Caenorhabditis elegans: one gene and its partners. The protein of the gene in region 1 purifies or fractionates together with the protein of each later gene. This does not show direct contact. Each region holds a gene or a part of one and is shown in the gene's direction. Other genes may lie near its edges.

What was found.
Region 2: the proteins of lsm-4 (region 1) and eif-2alpha fractionate together in Caenorhabditis elegans (co-fractionation; one large-scale study listed by BioGRID). This does not show direct contact.
Region 3: the proteins of lsm-4 (region 1) and lsm-8 fractionate together in Caenorhabditis elegans (co-fractionation; one large-scale study listed by BioGRID). This does not show direct contact.

Annotation. Positions count from the first base shown.
Region 1 is NC_003280.10:7,250,375-7,256,037, reverse strand, and holds lsm-4 (putative U6 snRNA-associated Sm-like protein LSm4), read left to right. Parts: upstream 1-2,874; 5' UTR 2,875-2,936; coding exon 2,937-2,942; intron 2,943-2,984; coding exon 2,985-3,125; intron 3,126-3,356; coding exon 3,357-3,434; intron 3,435-3,442; coding exon of another isoform or gene 3,443-3,476; exon of another isoform or gene 3,477-3,484; coding exon 3,485-3,631; 3' UTR 3,632-3,806; downstream 3,807-5,663. Other genes in the region: ada-2 (SANT domain-containing protein), read right to left, coding at 522-658, 791-1,333, 1,391-1,619, 1,670-1,943, 1,989-2,449, 2,506-2,618, 3,443-3,476; prx-13 (Peroxisomal membrane protein PEX13), read left to right, coding at 4,035-4,088, 4,140-4,222, 4,688-4,955, 5,010-5,148, 5,312-5,606, 5,659-5,663. UniProt on the Caenorhabditis elegans protein: Plays a role in pre-mRNA splicing as component of the U4/U6-U5 tri-snRNP complex that is involved in spliceosome assembly, and as component of the precatalytic spliceosome (spliceosome B complex).
Region 2 is NC_003279.8:2,070,108-2,079,025, forward strand, and holds eif-2alpha (Eukaryotic translation initiation factor 2 subunit 1), read left to right. Parts: upstream 1-2,572; 5' UTR 2,573-2,581; coding exon 2,582-2,699; intron 2,700-3,311; coding exon 3,312-3,859; intron 3,860-4,598; exon of another isoform or gene 4,599-4,599; coding exon 4,600-4,848; intron 4,849-5,879; coding exon 5,880-5,993; 3' UTR 5,994-6,818; downstream 6,819-8,918. Other genes in the region: rpl-27A (Large ribosomal subunit protein uL15), read right to left, coding at 1-100, 333-497; phb-1 (Mitochondrial prohibitin complex protein 1), read left to right, coding at 1,246-1,647, 1,717-1,833, 1,883-2,191; pcyt-2.1 (ethanolamine-phosphate cytidylyltransferase), read left to right, coding at 8,861-8,918.
Region 3 is NC_003282.8:6,324,047-6,331,579, forward strand, and holds lsm-8 (U6 snRNA-associated Sm-like protein LSm8), read left to right. Parts: upstream 1-2,479; 5' UTR 2,480-2,486; coding exon 2,487-2,570; intron 2,571-2,797; coding exon 2,798-2,913; intron 2,914-5,062; coding exon 5,063-5,159; 3' UTR 5,160-5,433; downstream 5,434-7,533. Other genes in the region: sqd-1 (RRM domain-containing protein), read left to right, coding at 299-592, 680-1,187, 1,265-1,389; Protein seu-1, read left to right, coding at 5,593-5,607, 5,721-5,966, 6,114-6,248, 6,338-6,454, 7,461-7,533.

The DNA of each region.
Region 1 (5,663 bases):
TTAAGATTGATTCAGATTTCCTTGAAAACAAAAGCGACGTGGTAAATTGTGTGAAAAAAGAAAAATTGGTTAATAGTAAAGAGAAAATTGGGGGCAAAACGAGAGAGGTGAGAGAGAGACCCGACTGCCATCTTCCGAGTGTCCTTGCGAAACGGAGACTGTCCTGTCTCTGCGTCTCGTTGTAAAAGGAGCAAACAATTTGTATATTGTATTTTTACAATGTCTCCATTCTGTGACTCAGTTTTTGTGCTCCTAGGAGATGACGAGTTTTTGTTTGAGTAAACAAGTGAACAGTCTGATAAGGTTGAGAAGACATGTATTAGGACCAAATGAAATTATGAAAAAAAAAACATAATACAGATTTTTGACGGTGGAGTAATTGTATAATTGTACAGAGCTTGTAATGAGTTAGAGAATCAAGGGATGGAAATGAATTAGAAAGTGAAAATAAATATGACAAACAGAGACGGGGAAAATTAATAATAATATGTTATAAATAGGTAATCGAATACGAGATAAAATTACTCCCATCCTTCAGTGTGCCACTTTTTAAACTTGCTCCATTCGGTAGCAATCTTTTTCTTCTGTTCACAATCGATTTTTCTCATCTTTTTCTTCGATTTGCGTTCAACTGGAGCATTCTTGAGAGTGGTCTCGCCTGAAAAATAAAATAATAATAAGAATTTCAAACGGTATTTATGAATTTTCAATAGGACAAAGTTGTCATGTTTTTTTCTAAAGAAAATTGTTCATTTTAAATTGATTTTAATATAAATAAAAATTTTAATACCGTTTTTCTGAAGATCCTGAAGTACTTCGATCCGTTCCACTACATTATCGATACGTTCAATGGATGCTCGTAGGCTACGATACTCGTCTCTAGTCAGGAATTGTTGAGTCATTGCCAATAGCTTCTCCTTTTCAGTACGTGAATCCATTATCTCCTGCTGGCTCACTGGACGTTTGGCTGCTGCGTAGCATGCTTCTTGGTAGAATTTCATGAATTCATTTATCTTGTCATGTTCAAGCACAGTATTTCGTTTAGCCTTCCGAATTCCGAGTAGACGAACGTAATGTCTCAAACGGGCGAACTTAATATCATTTTCCATATCGAGTCTCTGATCTTTCTGAGGTTCCGTAGCAGATATTGTGAGGCGACTGATAAGTTGTTCAGCTTCATTGAACCATTCACACTCCAATTCTTCACGTTCGTTATTGTATCCAAGAATTTTCAACTCATCACTTCTTCTCATTTTTGGACGAGTTTCCGACTTTGATACACCACTTTCATGAAGTAGACGAGGATATGCACTTCTGAGCTCTTTAACTTCTTCTAAAGAACAAATTGCGCCGAGAGTTTCTAACTTTTTTTCTCCTTGTTTCTGCTCACGGTTCATCTTTTTACGGAATTCATGCAATCTTCTATCTTTTTTCGAAACCCACATCCTCCTTCGCTTTCGTCTCTTTGAGCTCGAAGCTGTTCCTCTCTTTGGTTTTTTCTCTTCTTCTTCATCTTCTGTATCAAATTCCTGTGCAGTCTCAAAAGCGCTTGGAGGATCTTCTTCTTCTGTTTCGCGTTCCATGCCGTGGTAGGTGTCTTTATCAGAAGCTTGACTTTTCTGGAAAAAATACACATAAAACTGAATTTAGTTATTTTCCTTAAACTCACATCATCGTCCGAATCACTGCTTGATTCTCTCATAACTCGAGTAGTTTTTCTTCTCTTTGGACTCGGAGGCCCCTTTTTCCGACAACTGGAAGACGGGCCCGGCGAATTGTCATTATCACTATCATCAGTATTTATTTCCTGTTTTACTGATCGCTTCGATTTCATATCTCTTTCATTATCAGGATCACAGTCATCTGGGCTAAGCTCCGTCTCATATTGATTTGTAAGGAATTTTGGGCGCTCATACTTGGTTTCAATGTCACCATCGATTACTCTGAAGAAATTCTAAATATATGAAAAATAGGACATTTTCACTTACTTTTGCACATACTGCTCTAATACTTGTTGCACTTTTATCGCAAGTTTCGGATCGTTTTCATCCCAGCTTTCTCCAGATGCACGAACGGCGTCTCGAATCAGAAGCATTCTTTCCGTTGATTCCAAACAGTTTTTTTGTAGCACACTGTCTAATGTTTGATTTATATACATCCCATATTTAATTCGATCCCAACTTGAACTTTTTATGGAAAATTGTCCAATCCATCCACGCACGAAATGTTTTTCAAAGTAATCCTTGCAATTATGACCATCTTTTCTTCCGCGACCAATACTTTCAGCTATTTCTCCCCAATTTCCCATCTTGAATTTATGAGCAGCTTTTAACAATTCGAATTCATCTTCGTGTGTCCAGCTCATTGCTTCGGGATTACTTGTTGGCTTGACAAGCTCGTAATTGTGACCTCGGCGATGTGGTGGTGATTCCGCGCCGCATTGGAAACACTGAAATTTTAAAAATAAAATAATGTTCTTAAAAACTTCACAATCTGTCAACTCACGAGGATACAAATTCGCAGAGGACATTCAAAGCATTTGACATGAATGGTTTGGTCGACTCGTAATGTGCAGTTGAAGCATACCGGATGTTCTCCGGTATCATCAGCCATTGAACCTATAAATATTAAAATTCCTCAAATCATGTTTTAAAATAAAACTAATAATCTTGAGATGAAAACAAAGAAAAATCGATTGCAGAGGTGAACCCTGTTTTCAAATGATCATCCACCAACGACCCTCCGAAATGACGCATGGTCGCCTTGTTTAACGTAAATATTGTGTGCATTAAAATCTTTTTTTATCGGAATTTTTTGTTTCGAATTGTCTTTTCGCCGTAATTTCAGTTTAAAATCTTAATTTATTCTTTGCAGATTGTCTCACTTTAAGTTTTACTAGTGAAAAACAATCACAACCCCACTAAATCAATATAGTCATGGTGGTAAGTCGAATTAAGCTGAACTCAAATAGTGTATGATTTCAGTTGCCACTTTCTCTTCTCAAAACCGCTCAAAACCACCCGATGCTTGTGGAGTTGAAGAACGGCGAGACTTATAACGGTCACCTGAAAGCCTGCGATTCGTGGATGAATATTCATTTGGTGGATGTTATTTTCACATCAAAAGTAAGTGTTTCGTTTAATTAAATGGTTAGCCCAGGAGAAACTGGCTATTCAGAAATTTCTTTTCGTTATTATTGAAAAAAAACATAATTTTGTTTTAAACGGCTCACAGATTCTAATTTAGAAAGAACCTTTCATATTTAATTTGCATTCATATGTCAGCTCAATATTTCAAACATCTAAAACTCTCGGATTGATGCAAATTTGCGACTAACAATACATGTTAAATTACAGGACGGTGACAAGTTCTTCAAAATGTCAGAAGCGTATGTCCGGGGATCTACTATCAAGTATCTCAGAATTCCAGAAACAGTAAGTACCTGATTTTCTCTTCGACAACATAACATTTCCCATTCTTCCAGGTGGTCGATCTCGTGAAAACTGAAGTCAACGAAGTTCGTCGTCAACAGCAGCGCGAGCAATCCCGTGGTCGTGGTGGTGGACGAGGAGGACGTGGAGGACACCGCGGAGGTGGTGGAAACCGAGGCGGACGCGGAGGAGCTCGATAATTCCTGCAGTGCTTCGATTGCTGATAACAATTTCTCGTTTACTCTAAATAATTTATGTATTTGAAATTATTTTTTTACCCAAAAACCAAACCTTCCTCCGTCTCTTCTGATCTTCCCCAAGTCGGGTTGTTTCACATGTTTTGAAATTTTATTACAATAAATTGAATTATACTTCAACAATATCTTAAGATCTTTCATCTGTCCTCCCACTCTTTTACTAGACTACAATGTAGTCTAGTATGGGACGTTGTCCTTATCAACCGCCCGCTGCAGTCATTGATTGTAGTCCACAATGTGACTAACGGCAATTTCATAGTTGCCATTTCTTTTATTTTTTCTTGAATTTAATCCATTTTTCAAAATCGAATAACGACATTCCATTTATTATTACAGATAAATTATAATGTCCGCACCTCCAACAAATCAACCACCTCCGCTGCCGCCAAGGTCATTTGATGTAATTATTGATAAATTGTTTTGAAACTCCTACTAATCGATAATATTTAAGAATCAAATGTCGAATCCAATGATCAATACAGGTTTTGGTTATGGTGGAGGATATGGAATGAATACGTTTCCAGGGTCTGGAATGTAAGTTTTATTTTTTAAATATTTTTTTTTTTTTTGAATGCTCTTTCGTAAATGCTAAAATGTCTGCGCCTTTAAAGAGTACTGTAGTTTCAAACTTTCGTCGCTGCCTTATTTTCATGGATTTTTCGTAGTTTTTCCGATAAATTAATTTTAAATTCAAGTATACTAATAAAAAAGAGAGAAGAAGCATGAAAAAACGATGAAAGTCCCTCAGCAACGAGAGTTTGCTGTTACAGTACTATTTAAAGGCGCACACCTTTTCATATTTAAGAAAAATGTGTCGTTTCGAGACCGGGTACCGTATCCTTGACGCAAAATCGTAAAATATCATGTCTGGGTAATTTACCGAATAAAGTCAGTACCGAAATGATAGAGAATGGGTTACTGTATAACTCAAAGGGGCCTACGTTTCGCGCAGCCTCGATTTGAAAATATTTTGTATTAATAAAATTGTATATTGTTTAGGTATGGTGGTGGGGGAATGTATGGAGGAGGAATGGGTTACGGTGGATTTGGTGGTGGCTTCAACCATATGGGATATGGTCAAGGACCTGACAGCAATTTTGCTCGACTTGCAGAAGAACAGTCTCGAGGCGCTTTTCAATCAATCGAATCAGTTGTAAATGCAGTCTCATCTGTCGCCAACATGCTCAATTCAACTCATAATGCAGTTTATAGTTCTTTTCGAGCAGTTATTGGAGTTGTAGAGCAATTTGGAAGATTAAAGACGCAGGTGAGTTTTTTATTGAAAAAAACAAATCTGATAATAATTATTCTATTGTTCCAGTTGTCATCAGTAGTTGTTTCTTTGGCAGTTTTCCGATGGGTATATCGTTTCTGGAGATGGCTACTGGTTATGTTGAAATTGAAACCAGCAAGTTATGCAAGCGCTGCTGAAATGGCTTGGGGAACATCACAACCGTATGGTAAGTGTTCAAATTTTGTTTAGAATTGAGAAATATAGTTTGAATATCTAAAATTAGGAATAATACGATAAATAATGATTCTGACTACATTTTCGAAATAATCTATATTCTTTTGGTTTATTTCTTGTACCATAATTTTCCAAAATCGTAATTTTCCTTCCAGCCACAGACGTTCTTGGTGCCACAAGAACTCCAGCAAGTGTCAACTGGCCTGCTGCTCTCTTCTGGGTTGTTGCAATTGGAGGACCATGGCTCATCTATAGATGTGTCAGTCAGATGGTACAAGCTGCTGAAGAGAAGAGAAAATGGGCAACTGGAGCCGCTCCACATTATACTGCTCAAGCACTTTTCGACTTTCAAGCCTCAAATGAGCAAGAGCTTAGCTTCATGAATGGAGAAACGTTAAGAGTGGCTCCAAAAGAAGAACAACCCAGAGTTAGAGGATGGCTTTTAGCAAGGTAGCATCAAAAAGCTCTCTGATTAGATATTTATTAATTCTTCATATTTTAGTGTTG
Region 2 (8,918 bases), on another chromosome or scaffold:
TGTCGCGAACCTCCTGTGGGACAAGAGACCACAAACGCTCGACGTTGACGGTTGGGCAGTAGTGTTGGTTCTTGTTGAGATGGAACACTCTCATTCCAACCTGAAAATTAAAGTTTGAGTGTCAGATAATAAAGAACATATTAGATTTAATTGTCTCGAACCCAGAGGATGACATTTGTCGAGATGCAAGACAAACACCGAAGGAGATCCGAAAGCCAAAAGGCACTACTATCTCTCCTATAACATACACAGCCATATTCACCAATGGAAGCGCCAAGATAGGAGCGGATAATTTCCAACGAACTTTTAAAAAAGTACCTTAAAAATAATACCTTTCCGAAGTATCCAGGATGGTACTTGTCACGGTTGATACGGTGGTGATGTTGACCTCCGGCGTTACCGCGACCTCCAGGATGCTTCCTGTGCTTTCCAATACGTCCGTGTCCGTGCGAGACGTGACCACGGAGCTTTCTTGTCTTTCTCAACGCGTGAGCCATACCCTGTAAAGTAAACAATTTGAATGTGTAAAAGCGGCAAATTTCGATCGAAAATGGAGAAGAAAAATCAGAGAAAAATATTCAATGAAAGGTTCCCGATATTCTCGGATAAAATTACTACAAAAATACAAATTTTGTCTTTAAAGATAATTAAAATCGACCAGATCACACACTTTTTTCATTAAAACCTAGCGAAAAACCATTGAGAACAAAAAGAAATCCTAAAATATTCGCAAAAATTCAGTGAGTGTGTCTCCCAAAATCTGAGGTACGGTCACACTCGTTTGATGCGCATTTCGTGGCGAGACCCTCTCGATGAAATGCAGCCTCCCTTTAAACTCTTTTATTTTTTGCGCAACTTATTTCATCATTTAAATCGATTTTTTAAGCTAAAAAAGCAGAAAAGTTAGTTAAAATTTAATTAAATAATTTTGCAAATAAATAAGTTATTGATATTTTGTACTTTTTGATTCAGGCTCACTGTTATTATCGATTTATTCGTGGAGAAAGTCGAAAAATACTTTGTGTTGCATTATTTATAACATTCCGTAATTATTTTTGAAGTATTTTTTGTTTTCTAATTTTACTCGACTAAACTCACTTTTTCAATTTAGATTTCCTGACACCATTTAATTCATCCATCTAATTTCGTGATAATTAGGATTATTATCAATTTTGCATCATAGCTCGTTCATTTCTCTTTCTATTTCCCATTTTTTGTCCAAGTTATTAACTTCCATTTACCAGAATGGCTGCATCTGCACAGAAGCTTTTGGGTCGCTTGGGAACTGTCGGAGTGGGCCTTTCCATCGCTGGAGGAATCGCACAAACTGCTCTTTACAATGTTGATGGAGGTCAACGAGCAGTCATCTTCGACCGATTCAGTGGAGTGAAAAACGAGGTCGTCGGAGAAGGAACTCATTTCTTAATTCCATGGGTACAAAAACCAATCATTTTTGATATCCGGTCAACGCCGAGAGCCGTCACCACCATCACTGGAAGTAAAGACTTGCAAAACGTCAACATTACTCTCCGTATCCTTCACAGACCAAGCCCCGATCGTCTTCCAAACATCTACCTGAACATTGGTTTGGACTACGCAGAAAGAGTCCTTCCTTCCATTACAAATGAAGTTTTGAAGGCTGTTGTGGTGAGAAAAAATTTTAATTTAAATATTGCGAACTGATTTTGATTTAAAATTTGTTAAAATTAATTCCAGGCGCAATTCGATGCTCATGAGATGATCACCCAGCGTGAGGTTGTCTCCCAACGGGCGTCCGTGGCTCTTCGTGAACGTGCTGCACAGTTCGGACTTCTCCTTGATGATATTGCAATTGTAAGTTCACCAGATTTATGAAGTTTAAGCTATTTCCATGATTTTTCAGACCCACTTGAACTTTGGACGTGAATTCACTGAAGCCGTCGAAATGAAGCAAGTCGCACAGCAAGAAGCCGAAAAAGCGAGATACCTTGTCGAGAAGGCTGAACAAATGAAGATCGCCGCCGTTACCACCGCCGAAGGAGATGCTCAAGCCGCAAAGCTTCTTGCCAAGGCCTTTGCCTCTGCCGGAGACGGACTTGTCGAGCTCAGAAAGATTGAGGCCGCCGAAGAGATCGCCGAGCGTATGGCCAAGAACAAGAATGTCACCTATCTTCCAGGAAACCAACAAACCCTTCTCAACCTTCAATCCTAAATATCTCCGGTTACGTGTTTTAGACGAATTCCACTCATTTTCCCCTTTTCAAAGAGCCTTTTTCACTCTGTTGAACTTTCGAGAATAATCATGCCCGAATTCTCAATTAAATACTTTTTAAATTTCGTTTTTTTTGTTCTGTTTAGAGTAGGTCATTTCCTTCATTCATTTTGTGTAGGTATCGTAGCTTTTTCATTTTTTTTGCTTGTTTTTGTTGGAAATTTTCGTCTAATGAATAATTTGTTCGCGATATAATGAATTTGAAATTGGGAATTTATTAATTTTCAATGGTTGATTTCCCAAAATCATTATTTATAATTTTCTTATTTCTTTTCAATTTTCTTTTTTTTTAATGCTAAACTTTTCTTCTTCTCATTTCAGATGGCGTTAATGAAATGCCGTTTCTACGAGAATCAATTCCCCGATGTCGAGGAGACCGTTGTCGCCAATGTTAAAATGATTGCCGATATGGGTGCCTACGTCCGGCTTTCCGAGTACAATGATAAAGGTTTTTAAAATCATCATTTTAAAACAAAAATCGAATTAAAAGAGGACTAACGGTTCGGACGATTTTGAACGTATAGACCCAAAATGAGCTCAAATGAACGAATTTCGTAATGAAACTGCTCAAAAATGTTTCAAAAAATTTTTATGGCGGTTCAAAATTTTGAAAAATTACAATGATTTTAGCTAAAATCACGAATTTTCCCCTTTTTTCCGTGTCAAATCCTTCCTAAGTTAGCTTTTTTGGAATTATCGTCTTTTATTACATATATTGGTAGTTTATCTCATTTAATTTCGTTGATTTTTGGTTACCTATCGGCTTTAAATATACTTTAATCGGTAAAATTAAATGAGATAAACTACCAATATATGTAATAAAAGACGATGATTCCAAAAAAGCTAACTTAGGAAGGATTTGGCACGGAAAAAAGGGAAAAATTCGTGATTTTAGCTAAAATCAGTGCAATTTTTCAAAATTTTGAACCGCCATAAAAAAATTTTTGAAACATTTTTGAGCAGTTTCATTACGAAATTCGTTCGTTTGAGCTCATTTTGAGTCTATACGTTCAAAATCGTCCGAACCGTTCGTCCTCCTTTAAATTAAATCATTTTTCAGAGGGTATGATCCTGCTCTCCGAGCTCTCCCGTCGTCGTATCCGTTCAGTGAACAAGCTAATCCGTGTCGGCCGAAGTGAAAGCGTCGTCGTGATCCGTGTCGACAAGGACAAAGGTTACATTGATCTGTCGAAGCGTCGTGTCTACCAGAAAGACTTGAAACAGTGCGACGAGCGATTCGCGAACGCCAAAATGGTGAACAGCATTTTGAGACACGTGGCCGAGCAAGTCGGATACACTACCGACGAAGAGTTGGAGGATTTGTACCAAAAGACCGCGTGGCACTTTGATCGCAAAGAGAAACGGAAAGCAGCTTCATATGACGCATTCAAGAAGGCGATCACCGAACCGACGATCTTGGATGAGTGTGATATTAGTGCAGATATTAAGGAGAAACTCTTGGAGGACATTAGGAAGAAGCTCACCCCTCAGGCGGTTAAAATTCGCGCTGATATTGAAGTCTCCTGCTTCGATTATGATGGTATTGATGCTGTGAAGGCTGCACTTATTGCTGGAAAGAACTGCTCAAATGGAACCTTCCCGATTAAGGTTTCATTTTATAGATTTTACACATGGGCGCGCTTTTTTCTCGCTTTTTGCGTTTTTTGTTTAAAATTTCACGATGTCGCTCGATTTTGTCCGTTTTTTCGAAGAAAAAAACCAAGTTTTCATAGTACAGTTTTTACCCGAAAAATTCTCCGGTTAATTTCTTTTAATATTGTGAATTATTGTCATTTTTCAATGTCTTCTTTTATAACTTGTTGTATATTTATATGAAGAGAAAGCGAGTTTTATAATATTTTTCAGAAAGAGAGTTTTCAGCTATTTTTTAAACACAGTTTTTACCCGAAAAAATGCTTTTTTGTCTCTCTTTCTGAAAATACGATAAAACTCGCTTTCTCTTCATTTAAATATACAAATTATCAAGAAGGACATTTTAAAAATGACAATAATTCACAATATTAAGATAAATTAACAGGGGAATTTCAAATAATGTGCAAGATTTGGGTGATTTTTTTTCGGTTAAAAAATGTGAAAACTTGGTTATTTTTCATTTAAAAAATAGCTGAACACTTCTTTATTCGAAAAAAAAACGGCCAAAATCGATCGAAATCATGAAATTTTGGACAAAAAAAACGAAAAAAAAGGAAAATTACCGCACCCAAAAAGCGAGAAAAAAGCGCGCCGCAGGGTTGCGGCCGGAATCCCCGCCTCCAATAAACCACGCCCATGTGCGCAGTGCGAAATTGTTTTTTTTTAAATATTTAAAAAATAATTGTCTAATTCAGATCAATCTCATCGCCGCTCCCCACTTCGTCGTCACCACACAAACATTGGACAGAGAAGGTGGAATTGAGGCCGTCAACAGCATTCTGGATACTATCAAAAATGCGATTGAAGGATTCAAGGGAAAATTCACGATCAAGGAGGAGGCGAGAATTGTGACGGATATTGATGATGAGAAGAAGAAGGGTGATGGAGATGAGGATGAGGAGGAATCAGAGGAAGACGAGGACGAGGAAGAGGATGAGGATGATGTGAGTTTTGGAGTTTTTAAGACGATTTCAAGCATTTTTTCGTGATGATTTTATAATACATGAATTGGCAAGTAGAGCTTACACGTGATACTAATAATTGATAAATACATCAATTTCTGTTTTTACTGTACTGGCACAATAGCTCTCGTAAATCGACACAAAAGTAATTAAGTCACTCCGCGGAAAAAAGAAATTTGAATAACTCGATTCTTGTTTTGAATGTGGTTAACGGTTTTTTTTTAAAATCAAATTCAAAATCAGAATCATCCAAATTCCATTTTTCCGCGGAGTGATTTAATTACTTTTGTGTCGATTTACGAGAGCTATTGTGCCGGAATTTCAGTGCAGTAAAAACAGAAATTGATGTTTTATCAATGATTCGCATCACGTGTAAGCTCTACTTGCCAATTCGTGTAAAATTATCACGAAAAACTTTTTAGACCAAAAATGGCCAAAAACTACCAAATTTCGTAATGAGACGCTCTGAAAATCTCTCAAAAAAAAGTTATGGCCGCTCAAAGTTTTGGAAAAATGTTATATTTTTAGCTAAAATCTCAAATTTTGGCAACTTCTCGATGTCGCAGCGGTTGGAACTTAATTTTTATTTGATTGTCGTTTTTTAATGCATGTTTTGGCATTTTATCTCGTGTTGTTTCGTTAATTGAGATGCTTTTTCGGTCGATGCGGGCTCAAACTTTTATCGTATTTGTGCCCGCATCGACCATAAAGAATCTCAGTCAACGAAAAAACACGAAATAAAATGCCAAAACATGCATTAAAAAACGACAATCAAATAAAAATTAAGTTCCAACCGCTGCGACATCGAGAAGTTGCCAAAATTTGAGATTTTAGCTGAAAATATAACATGTTTCCAAAACTTTGAGCGGCCATAACTTTTTTTTGAAAAATTTTCAGAACGTCTCATTACGGAATTTGGTAGTTTTGGATCATTTTGGGTCTAAAAAACAAAGCCTCAAATTTCGGTACTCCACCTTGAAAGCTAGAAAAACGAAAAAAAATTTTTCTTTCAGGATGGACTCATGGCTCCAAAGGGTTTGGATCAACAAGTCGACGCGGAAGAAGCCAGCAGAGATAACCGAAAGAAGGCCGGCGACGATGAAGACAGTGATGAGGAGGATGATTAATTATTTGAAAATTGAAAATTGAAAATTCCCATTGTTTTTTTTTTGCTTTTATTGGTGTAATTGGCTCCGATTCTTTCTGGACTATTATTATAGTATTATTCAATTTTGGCACTATCATTTCTCTTCATCTGTTCTGTTGTTTTGTTCCTTTCCCCCTTTAAATGTGGAGTACCGATATTTTAGACTTTGCTTTTTTAGACCTAAAATGACCCAAAACTACCGAATTTTGTAATGAGACGTTCTGAAAATTTTTTACAAAAAAAAGTTATGGCGGTTCAAAGTTTCGGAAAAAATACCCCTTTTCAGCTAAAATCGAAATTTTGCCAACTTCTCGGTGTCTCAGTGTTTCGAACTTAATTTTTATTTAATTATCACTTTTTAAACAATATTTTGGTCTTTTATTAGACGTTGATTAGTTGATTTTTCGATCATTGGGGCACAAAAATGTAACTTTTATTTGTCCCCCACTGGTCGAAAATGTGCTTACATTAACGAATAAATGTCTAATAAAAGACCAAAATATTGTTTAAAAAGTGATAATTAAATAAAACTTAAGTTCCAGACTCTACGACACCGAGAAGTTGGCAAAAATTTCGATTTTAGCTGAAAATGGGCTATTTTTCCCAGAACTTTGAACCGCCATAACCTTTTTTTGAGAAATTTTCAAAACGCCTCATTAGGTAGTTTTCGGTAGTATTTTGGGTCTAAAAATGCAAAATCTCAGGTTTCGATACTCCACCTTTGACCTTCTATTTATTGTCTCCCATCCCCCGTTTTTTTTCCATTTTTGTGGGCTCCCAATTCGTTATGAACAGTGAGCTGGTTTTTCATCGCAGGCTTCTTTTTCCAGCAGTTACGAAGCAGACGTTCTGTGTTCAATACTTGACCATTCTCCCCCCGCCAGAAATGATCGATAAGAGGTGGTCCTCGGAGACCCGCGCGCGTGCGCATAGGTCACCTGATCACGTGGTGAAGGGCAACTGCCATTGTTTCAACGCCGGAATATTTTTTGAACCTTTATTGATTATCTCAAGTTTCTTATCAAATTTTCGAAAATTTGCCTTTCTTTTGTGTAAGGGGAAAATGGAAAAATTACGATTTTTGTTTCCATCGGAAACAAACAAAATGTGTTTTGTGGTGTGACCAAACGTCATTTTGTGTTGTTTTCTTGAAGTTTCTAGACGCGAAAAATAGAAAAATAATTAAAACTTTCTATAAAATTACCAACTTTCAGATTTCGGAAGGATTTTATTAAAAAAATTGGCAACATTTTTGATTTTCAATGAAATTTTTTTAAGGTGGAGTGCGCCCAGTGGGAAAATTGCTTCACAATGGCCGAATATCATGATTAAAAAATTCAAAAAAAATTTCTAAATTTTATATGATTTTTTGAAAATTGAAAAATCTCAGTTTTCCCCTAATTTCTATTTGAATTACCGCCAATTGGGTTCGTTCGATGGAGCGCGCTTGCACTATTTATTTTATTTTTCTCATTATTTCACTGATTTTCTTCATTATTTGTGTATTTTTATCGGAAAAAGAGAGAAAAATGCAAGGTAAATGCTTATAAGATTTATTAAAAAGTAACTGAAAATGAGTAAAACTGTGGAATATGCTATTTTCAGGATTTTTGGCGTCGAAACACAGTTTTACCCATTTTCAGTAATTTTTTAATGACCAATTTGCATTTTTCTCTATTTTTCCGATTAAAAACCCCCAAAAAACGAATAAAATCAGTGAAATAATGAGAAAAATAAAATAAATAAATAAAAATAATGCAAGTGCGCTCCATCGAACAATTTCAATTGGCGGTAATTCAAATAGGAATTAGGCAAAAACTGAGATTTTTCAATTTTCAAAAAAAAATCATATAAAATCTAGAAAATTTTTTGAATTTTTTTATCGTGATATTCGGTCATTGTGACCCTATGGGCATGTTTTAAAGCAATTTCCCCACTAGGCTTACTGAGTAGAAAAATCCCGGAAGTGCAATTTTTGAATTTTTTGTGAGAAACTCCTCCACAATTCGTCATTGAAAATGAAAAAACTCGACTAAATATTTTTTCCATGACAGGCGGTCTGCTCCGGGTTCGACGTCCTTTTCGAACTGATAACGTCACAATTTTTTTCTTTTTTTTTCCGCATTTTTTCATTCCGATTGCTATTTAATCGGGTGATGTCGGGGTCACTCTTCAATGTCCGTTGACTACATTGTTTTAATTTATTTTTAATTGACTCCAAATTTTCCCCTGATTTCGAATATCTATGTGAAAAAATTCAAAAAAATTTCCCTGATTTTATATTTAAGCTTGAAATCGCTTGTACTAGCATCACTTTTTTTCAAATTCGCGCCCAAAGAAATTCGCATTGGAGCGCGCTTTGATTTTCTTCATTTAAATATTTTATTTATTTTTCGCCGAATGCAGTTTTTTGAAAACCAGTTTCATTCATTTTTGTCGAGCTTTTATCGATTTTTTTCGACAAAAATGAATAAAACTGGTTTAAACTGAATTCGGCGGAAAATAAATAAAATATTTAAATGAAGAAAATCAAAGCGCGCTCCAATGCGAATTTGTTTGGGCGCGAATTTTAAAAAAAGTGATGCGGGGGACAAATGAAATTCTACGATTTCAAGCTAAAATATAATATCAGGGAATTTTTTTTGAATTTTTTCACATAGATATTCGGAATTAGGGGAAAATTTGGAGTAATATAAAAAATATTTCACAGATTTCGGTACTCAACCTTTAAAATTTTAAGTGAGAAAATATTATTAACGTGATTTTAAATTTTTTTTTCTTCTGCAACAATTTGAACTTTGATCTTAAATTAAAAAAAAAAATTATTTTTAAAATTTCAGTTCAAAAATGAGCGGATTAGCACCAGATGGACTGCCCAAAGGAAATCGAGTTTGGGCTGATGGAT
Region 3 (7,533 bases), on another chromosome or scaffold:
TATCGTCGAAAAATCAATAGTTTCATGAGGAAATTTTTTTTTAGGCCGGAATCTTTTCTCGAACGAAATCCCAATTCTTACCGATTTGACAATTTATTGTGTCTTTTTCATCCACTAATTTGTATACTTTTCAGGGTATTTTCTAGATAGTCTTAACGGCTACACTTTTTTAATTTCCAAGGCTTTTTTATCCAGCTTTTACCTTTATTTGTTCTTTTTTTTTGGTTCAGTAAAGTAAGGTGGGTGAATTAAAGGTCTCGATGCAGTAAATATAGTTGTGTTTCAGATAGTAGTAAAAATGGAAGCTACAGATAACAAGATTAACGGTAACGCCTCTGAGACTATCAAGGAAAATGGACACTCGACGAAGGGAAACGAGGACAAGAAGATATTCGTTGGTGGAATCTCGCCCGAAGTGAACAACGAAGATTTGAGCTCCCACTTCACCCAATATGGAGAAGTTGCTCAAGCTCAAGTCAAGTACGACCGGACTAACGGCCGCTCCAGAGGGTTCGCATTTGTCGAGTTCACCACTGGAGAGGGCTGTAAATTGGCCCTTGCTGCTCGCGAACAAACCATCAAGGGAAAATCTGTGAGTTCTTGTTTTTTTTCCTCGCCTACTTAAATGGCACTAAAAAGATATAAGTTCAATTGACAATAAACATATTTCTTGTTATAGGTCGAGGTAAAGCCAGCAAAATCGAGGGAAAACAAGAAGGTGTTTGTTGGAGGACTCCCATCGGACTACAGCGAGCAAGATCTTCGCTCTCATTTCGAACAATTCGGCAAGGTCGACGACATTGAATGGCCATTCGATAAGCAGACCAAGGCTCGTCGCAACTTCGCTTTTATCGTATTCGAGGAGGAGGAGTCCGCAGACAAAGCATCTTCCCAGACAAAACAGACCTTCGGAACTCGCGAATGTGACGTGAAAAAAGCAGTTCCACAAGGAAAACGGTTCCCAGGCGCCCAAGGGCGTATGCCAGGTGGTCGCGGAATGTATGGTGGACGTGGTGGAAATAACAACTCGGGATGGTATGCTGGATGGGGACAAATTGGAGCTATGCCATACGGAGCTACTGGAGCAGCTTGGGGAGACTGGTACGGAAACGGTTATTACGGCCAACAAGGTGCAGCACATCACAACAACAGCGGATCATCGCAAGGTTACGGAAGCGGATACCAGAGTTAGTTTTGTTACTATTTGATTCCATGTCTTGTGACTCATTCCACAAGGAATGCATCAGTATACTTATTCTATCAGGTTTTGCAGGAAATAACAGTGGATTCGATTACCAACAAGCTCAAGGAGCCAGACAGGGCAACAATGGCCAACCACGCTTCCAACAGCAGCCACAACAACAAACTGCTCAAGCCCAACAGTTCTAAATGTGCCTTCAGAACATCACCTCAATCACCATCTGAAATGCCTCCATCACAGTCCTCTTCAGAATTCCTGTTTCCTTCCTACCTAATCTTTCAAAAAATGTCCAAATTGTTTTGTCCTCACGCCCAGACTCAATCAAAAGCAGTTACAAATCGACCCTAAATTTCTAACGCGCGTTTTTCTTTAATTCCTTTTTTGGCAATGACGATCTGAGATGTGTTGTTCCCGAGGTTGAATTTTATATCGAACCAGTTTGTTTTGTTTCTCTGATTCTCACCCAAACTATCATCGACTCTCAACTTTTTTCCGTTGGTAATCTTTGATTTGAATAACTCCAGGAATAATAATAACATACTTTTGTTGTTTTAGATGATGTTCTTGTGAACATAATACTTTATCCACCCGCCTTTTTAGATGTGTAGAAGTACTTTATTTCCATCAGTTTTTTCAGTCATTTTTTGTTGTTTTAATTGTTTCGCTCGTTTTTTCTTTGAGCGATTCTGCGGCAGAAAACAAACTGTATTTTTACTTCTCTTCCCTAAAGTCTGTATGCTTCGCCCCCAATTTTTGTCTTTTAGTTGTTGTTATGGTGCTTTTTCCTTTGTTCAGGAACTGGTAACCAATTAGACTGTGCAATTCACTGTAGTTGTCAAGTATATTCACATTGAATTGTGCAGTTAGTTGTTAATTTCCCTCATCTCATTGAAGTGTATCTGATGAATCGTCAGGTGTCCCGTCTTCGTCTAATCTCACAACACCCAGCCACCCAACAAAAGCTTCTCCCTTTTTCTCCTTCGTTTTTTGCCAATCTCACCCGTAAATTCGCTCCCAAAAGCCCCCCCCCAACCGATTCTAATAACTGCCTCTTCGTTTGACATGTTATTTGTTGTCACATTCGTTTTTAATGTATGATAGATTCATGTCAAACATTTGTGTTGATATTAAGCTGAGAATGAAATTTTTGAGGACTAGTTGTTCTTATATTATCATTAAATTTTTATGCTTCATGAATTGAATGCGAACAGGTGGGTTGCCGTGAAAAATATCTCACTTGGGAACAATAAACTTCAATATTTAGAAGTCAATTTTCAGATAAAATATGACTTCAACTCTAGATGCGTACATGAATCGGATGGTGAACGTGGTCACTGGTGATGGTCGGGTTATCGTTGGACTTCTGAAGGTAAAATATCTAGAAAGAAATGTTGCTTCTGCACTTGGCGACAAAGGTTCGAGCCTTTGTCAAGAAATTTCAAAAATGCAGCACATCTTGATTATTATAAAACACGAGATTTTGAATCCCAACTTTGAAGAAATTGTTCAAAAAGACTGAGCTTATGTGTCGGATTAAATAATTAAATTATGTTACCTTTTAAAATTTCAATATTTTATTCAATTATACAATTTTAGGGATTCGATCAATTAATCAACTTGGTGATTGAAGATGCTCACGAAAGGTCGTATTCTGAGACGGAAGGTGTGCTCACGACACCATTGGGACTATATATTATTCGAGGAGAGAATGTGTAAGTTGAAAATTGACGGGACATAATTTAAAAATCGATTTTACCTTGTCACGGTGCTCTGCTTTTGGAATTTATAGGTTTTCTGCGACTAAAATTAGTTGTTGATGAAGAGTTTAGAAATGTCTCTTCTTGAATATCTACTTCATTTATTCCGATGAATTTTACTTCCGAGTTCCCGTACCACCCAATCCGTGGGTCAAACGATCAACAAACCCTCGAAAACATTGGACTCGGCATGCTTTTCCTTCCATTCCGTGCACATTATCGAAAAACTGACCAATTGTTTCAATTGAGTAGTGGCGGAGCCGCCTGCTTCAGCAAAGAAGCTCTTGATCATGTACGAGAGTGTTAAAAACCAAGACAGTTTTTATTGCTCAAAATCCATGGTCTTCTCTTGTTGAGAGGAGATGTTGGACTTTTAATAAAAGACCGGGTACAAATGTTGAACATTTGGAGCATTTTATCTGGATTTTTTTTTCACATCGCCCCATTAAACCTTATAAAAAGCTTCACATCGCCTTGCTTGTTGCAAATTCGCTCTATCGCCATTCTTCAATCTTTTCGAATCTAAAAACTCGTTGGTCATTATGTACTCTCTATTTCACCCGGTCTCTCTCTTCTGTTCTTTCTTTTGGAGTGCTCTACGGACCAATTGCTTCAAATGAATTATCGATTTTTTAAATTGTCGCGTTAGAATAGTTTCTCTGTGTTAAAACAGATCGACCTAATTTCAATTATCATCAAGAGTTTTTTTTTCTATTCGATTCAATCTTTTCCGATGACATTAATCATCCGTTTTTTATAATGTTGCACCCATGCGATGATAAGATTTAATTGTGGTCGTTGACTATCAGTGCTGAGAATGGAATTTTCTCGTTCAATTCACTTCAAAACGGGTCAATGTTATCATCTCAGAAACATCAAATTGATTTTACTTCATTTCTTCCAGTTGAATATTTTCTATAACGTTCCGTCGACATACCTTCGCCAGTCAACATTGAGTCATCATTTAAAAAAAAAAGAAAGGTGCAAGTAGTCCTGGTACCTGATGTTCTATAACAACCAGATCAAGTGCTTCTGTTGTTCCTTTGATCATTCAGCTTTCGGCAGCCGTCTAAAAACATAGCAACTGGTCGTTTCTTGTGCTCTGTTACGGTCGGAAACACGGAAAAGTCGGGGAAGCATGACGTGTCAAAACATCTCTTCCAATCGTTCGGCATTTTCTCGCCCTCAATCACAATTTGATGCTTGACCAATATGATTGCCCGAAGCCTTGCAGCAGCACCAGCAATTTATTTTGTTTGTACTCTTCACATTTTCGCCGGCAACAAAAAAAAACAACGAAAGAGGGAAATAGTTATAGTGAACGAGAGAACGAATACGAAAATGGACAACGCGATGGGAAAAATGTTGAAAAAGTATCCGTTTTCCTATTCTATGTCGGAGCTTCACAACTTGCTTACTAGGTTTTCAGTTTTCAGTTTTACTTTGTCGTTTCTATCTGAAAAGCGCTTATAGTTAAAACATATTCAGTTAAGTTCCAAACGAACTAAAACTTTAAAAAAAAAACTCCTCGTTGAGCGAATGCGATTGATTATTTTATTGAAGTCTCTAAATTGGCTCTTCCAGTCTCTGTTCAATACCTAATTGTTTTCTGATTAGTTTCATTATATTTATTGATTTTTCGTTTCCGATACACCACTCTTCTCTATACTCCACTCCAAATGTCAAGTGATAAATACTCATATTTCGAAATAGTTTATTTTTGGATAGGATACCCCTTCTGGCCCTATTCATGTCCCATTCAAAACACAATTTTATGAAATCTTTTCTCACTTTTCGTCAGTGTAATATAGCTGGAAAAGATTAATGTAGACATGCGTCAAATGTCCGAAACTTTCACAATTTCACACCTTTCAATTCATTCCGTTCGAACTTTGTTCAAAGAAAATGTGATTCCATGAAAAAAGTGTTCGGAACCTGTTCTGTTTCCCTCTGGAGAGGGGTGGAGAAATTATCGGAACACTTTTTCATTGCAAAAGTTGAAACTAAACTTTTAAAGCTATGATGTATATATATATAAAGACCAATTCTGCAACTACTGTAGATTTTTCCAAATGTTTCTTTTTGAAAATCTATCATTTTTCAGAGCGATTATCGGTGAAATCGATGAAGAACTCGACAAACGCGTTGATCTGGAAAATGTGAAAGCGGCCCCACTTGCACCAATTTGGATTCCCCAATAATTTCCACACAAATCGATATTCTGCATTGACGCGTTGTATTGACTGGTTATTCTCATCGTTTCCCCCCACCATTTCTTCTCCCCATTTAAATCATTTTTCCCAAACTATTCTCCATTCTTTTCTTGTTTCCTTGACGGTTTTGTATTCATACCATCGTTTCTTTACCATTTTTGGATCTCTAATTTCCTCTCAAATATTGTGAAAATTTATACATATTTATTTGCTTTGTTTTTAATAGTTAATGTATTAAATATGCATTTATTCAAATTGCAACGTCATTGTATTTTTTCGTGTTTCAACCGTTTGTTTATCGGTTTAACATTTCTTTTTTTAATATCGTTTCCTCGTTGAACTTTGCCATTTCACAGAAATAACCTTGCAGAAAATATTCCAGTGCTCGATTTCAACGGAATATACGGATCGAAGTTGCAAAATGAGCAGTATCAGAGTGAGTTAAATAGAATGGGGAAAGGATAATTTTGAACAAGAGTTTTTGCGCGTTTTTCAACTTTCCTACCAGAATAAAAGCATAAAGTAAAAATCGATAAACATTTTTTCCAGAACCAGAACGACAATCGTCGACCAACATTCCGTGATCATCGTACACCACAATTTAGCGGTCGTGGTGGTAGTGGTGGTGGCGGACGCCGTCTTCAAAATCCAGCTCATTATCCACAACGCAGAGATATGTCGCCGATTCGCAGATCTTCAGCAATTTCACCAGTCAGACGTTCACAGGATCATCGCCAACGTTCGCCTGAAGTTCGACGTCATCGATCACCGGAAAAGGAGTCAAAAGACGCAGTGGTTGGTAGATTCACACTCACACCCAAAATATCTCTATAGTAACCTCTTCTGTAATGGAATTTGTTGGATTATTGACTGAAACTTATCCTCCCCCACCGATTTCTTCGGGGGCTGTATCTTGAAACGCGACGAATCTCATCAATCTAGGTCACATCGACTGGATCTTCACGTGGAGCCACGTCAGCATCTGTCACGTCGTCATCGAGAAGGCATGAGAGTGGGGAGAGACATAGAGAGACTCATCGTAGAGAGGATAAAGAGAAGAAGCCAGAAAAATCTACGGTTTGTAACTAAAGACTAGACTCACTGAGCATTTTTAGATCCGAATTCAGTTATTTTCTACAAAAAAATATAAATAAAAACATTTGCAGGATCGTGATGCTGATCGTTCAAACAACATTGCTGCCAGAATCCAGGCTCCAGTCGTCTCATCGTCGACCCACCACCATCATAGCAACAGGCATGAAAATCGAAAGAGCACAGCAGTGGTAGGTTTATACAGAAATTCGTCAAGCTGAGTCATTGTATTCCCACTGTCACTGTAAACGTCGTCAAATAATAAAATGAGCTCTTCAGATTTATTATGCTCATTGGCTCATGTGTCACCGTGAACATAATGGATTCGAAGTTCTTCTAAACGATTCATTAACCACATGAAAATCATATATATCTATTCATTTCCCAATACTGAAAACTTGGAAATTCTTGAATTGAAAATTCCCATCCCTGTCCAACTTCGTCTTCCTCTTCTGCTTGCACCTACAATTCCGTCTTCAGACACTTTCAACTTTAGGCACTGAAGGAAGTGATAATAGAATAGTTTGCACATCGTAAACAATCGCTTCATATTTTATTTATTCCTTCTTTTCTGCTGCAACTTCAACTGTGTGTATCTCATCGAAATTGCCTTTTTTCGGCATTCTTCAAATTTGAATAGGCGAATGCCCATGCAAACAACGGCATTTATGTGATAGGACGTCGGTGCGAGAATTTTTGATGATAAGAATGTCAAACTGATTGTAGTGAGACTGAGAGCACTGAGTGATTGATGGCATTCCGCGCCTCTGTGTTGCTTTTCGTGTTTTAATTGAAATTGAGGACACAAAGTGTGTTTCTTTTCTTTTATCCGCAAGGCATTAATGCAATTTTTATCATTTGAATGACGATCGTTATACGTTCGCTGTATCCAGAATTCAAATTTTATTCACGATTGAAAATATTAAGCTAAAACTGGAAATCTCGTATTTCTATTCTAACTTTTCACTAGAAACTACGCTATTCAATTTTCCTGTATTTTAGTAATACTTGTAATAGACAATAAGGCCTCTATTTCTATGTTTCTTCTGTCATTGTCCAGGTTATTTCATTGATAAGAAGATTATCACTTGTACTTAAGGATTAGCTTTCATATTGAGTCAAGAAAGCACACAAATATTGTCAGTTCATTTCTATATTTCTTACTTATGCCTCTTAAAATATATTGAAAATTTGCAGAAGCGACCTGCCGCCGACAATCGTCCAATGACATACTCAACCGATGTTTCTGTGTCTCGACACTCGGAAAATC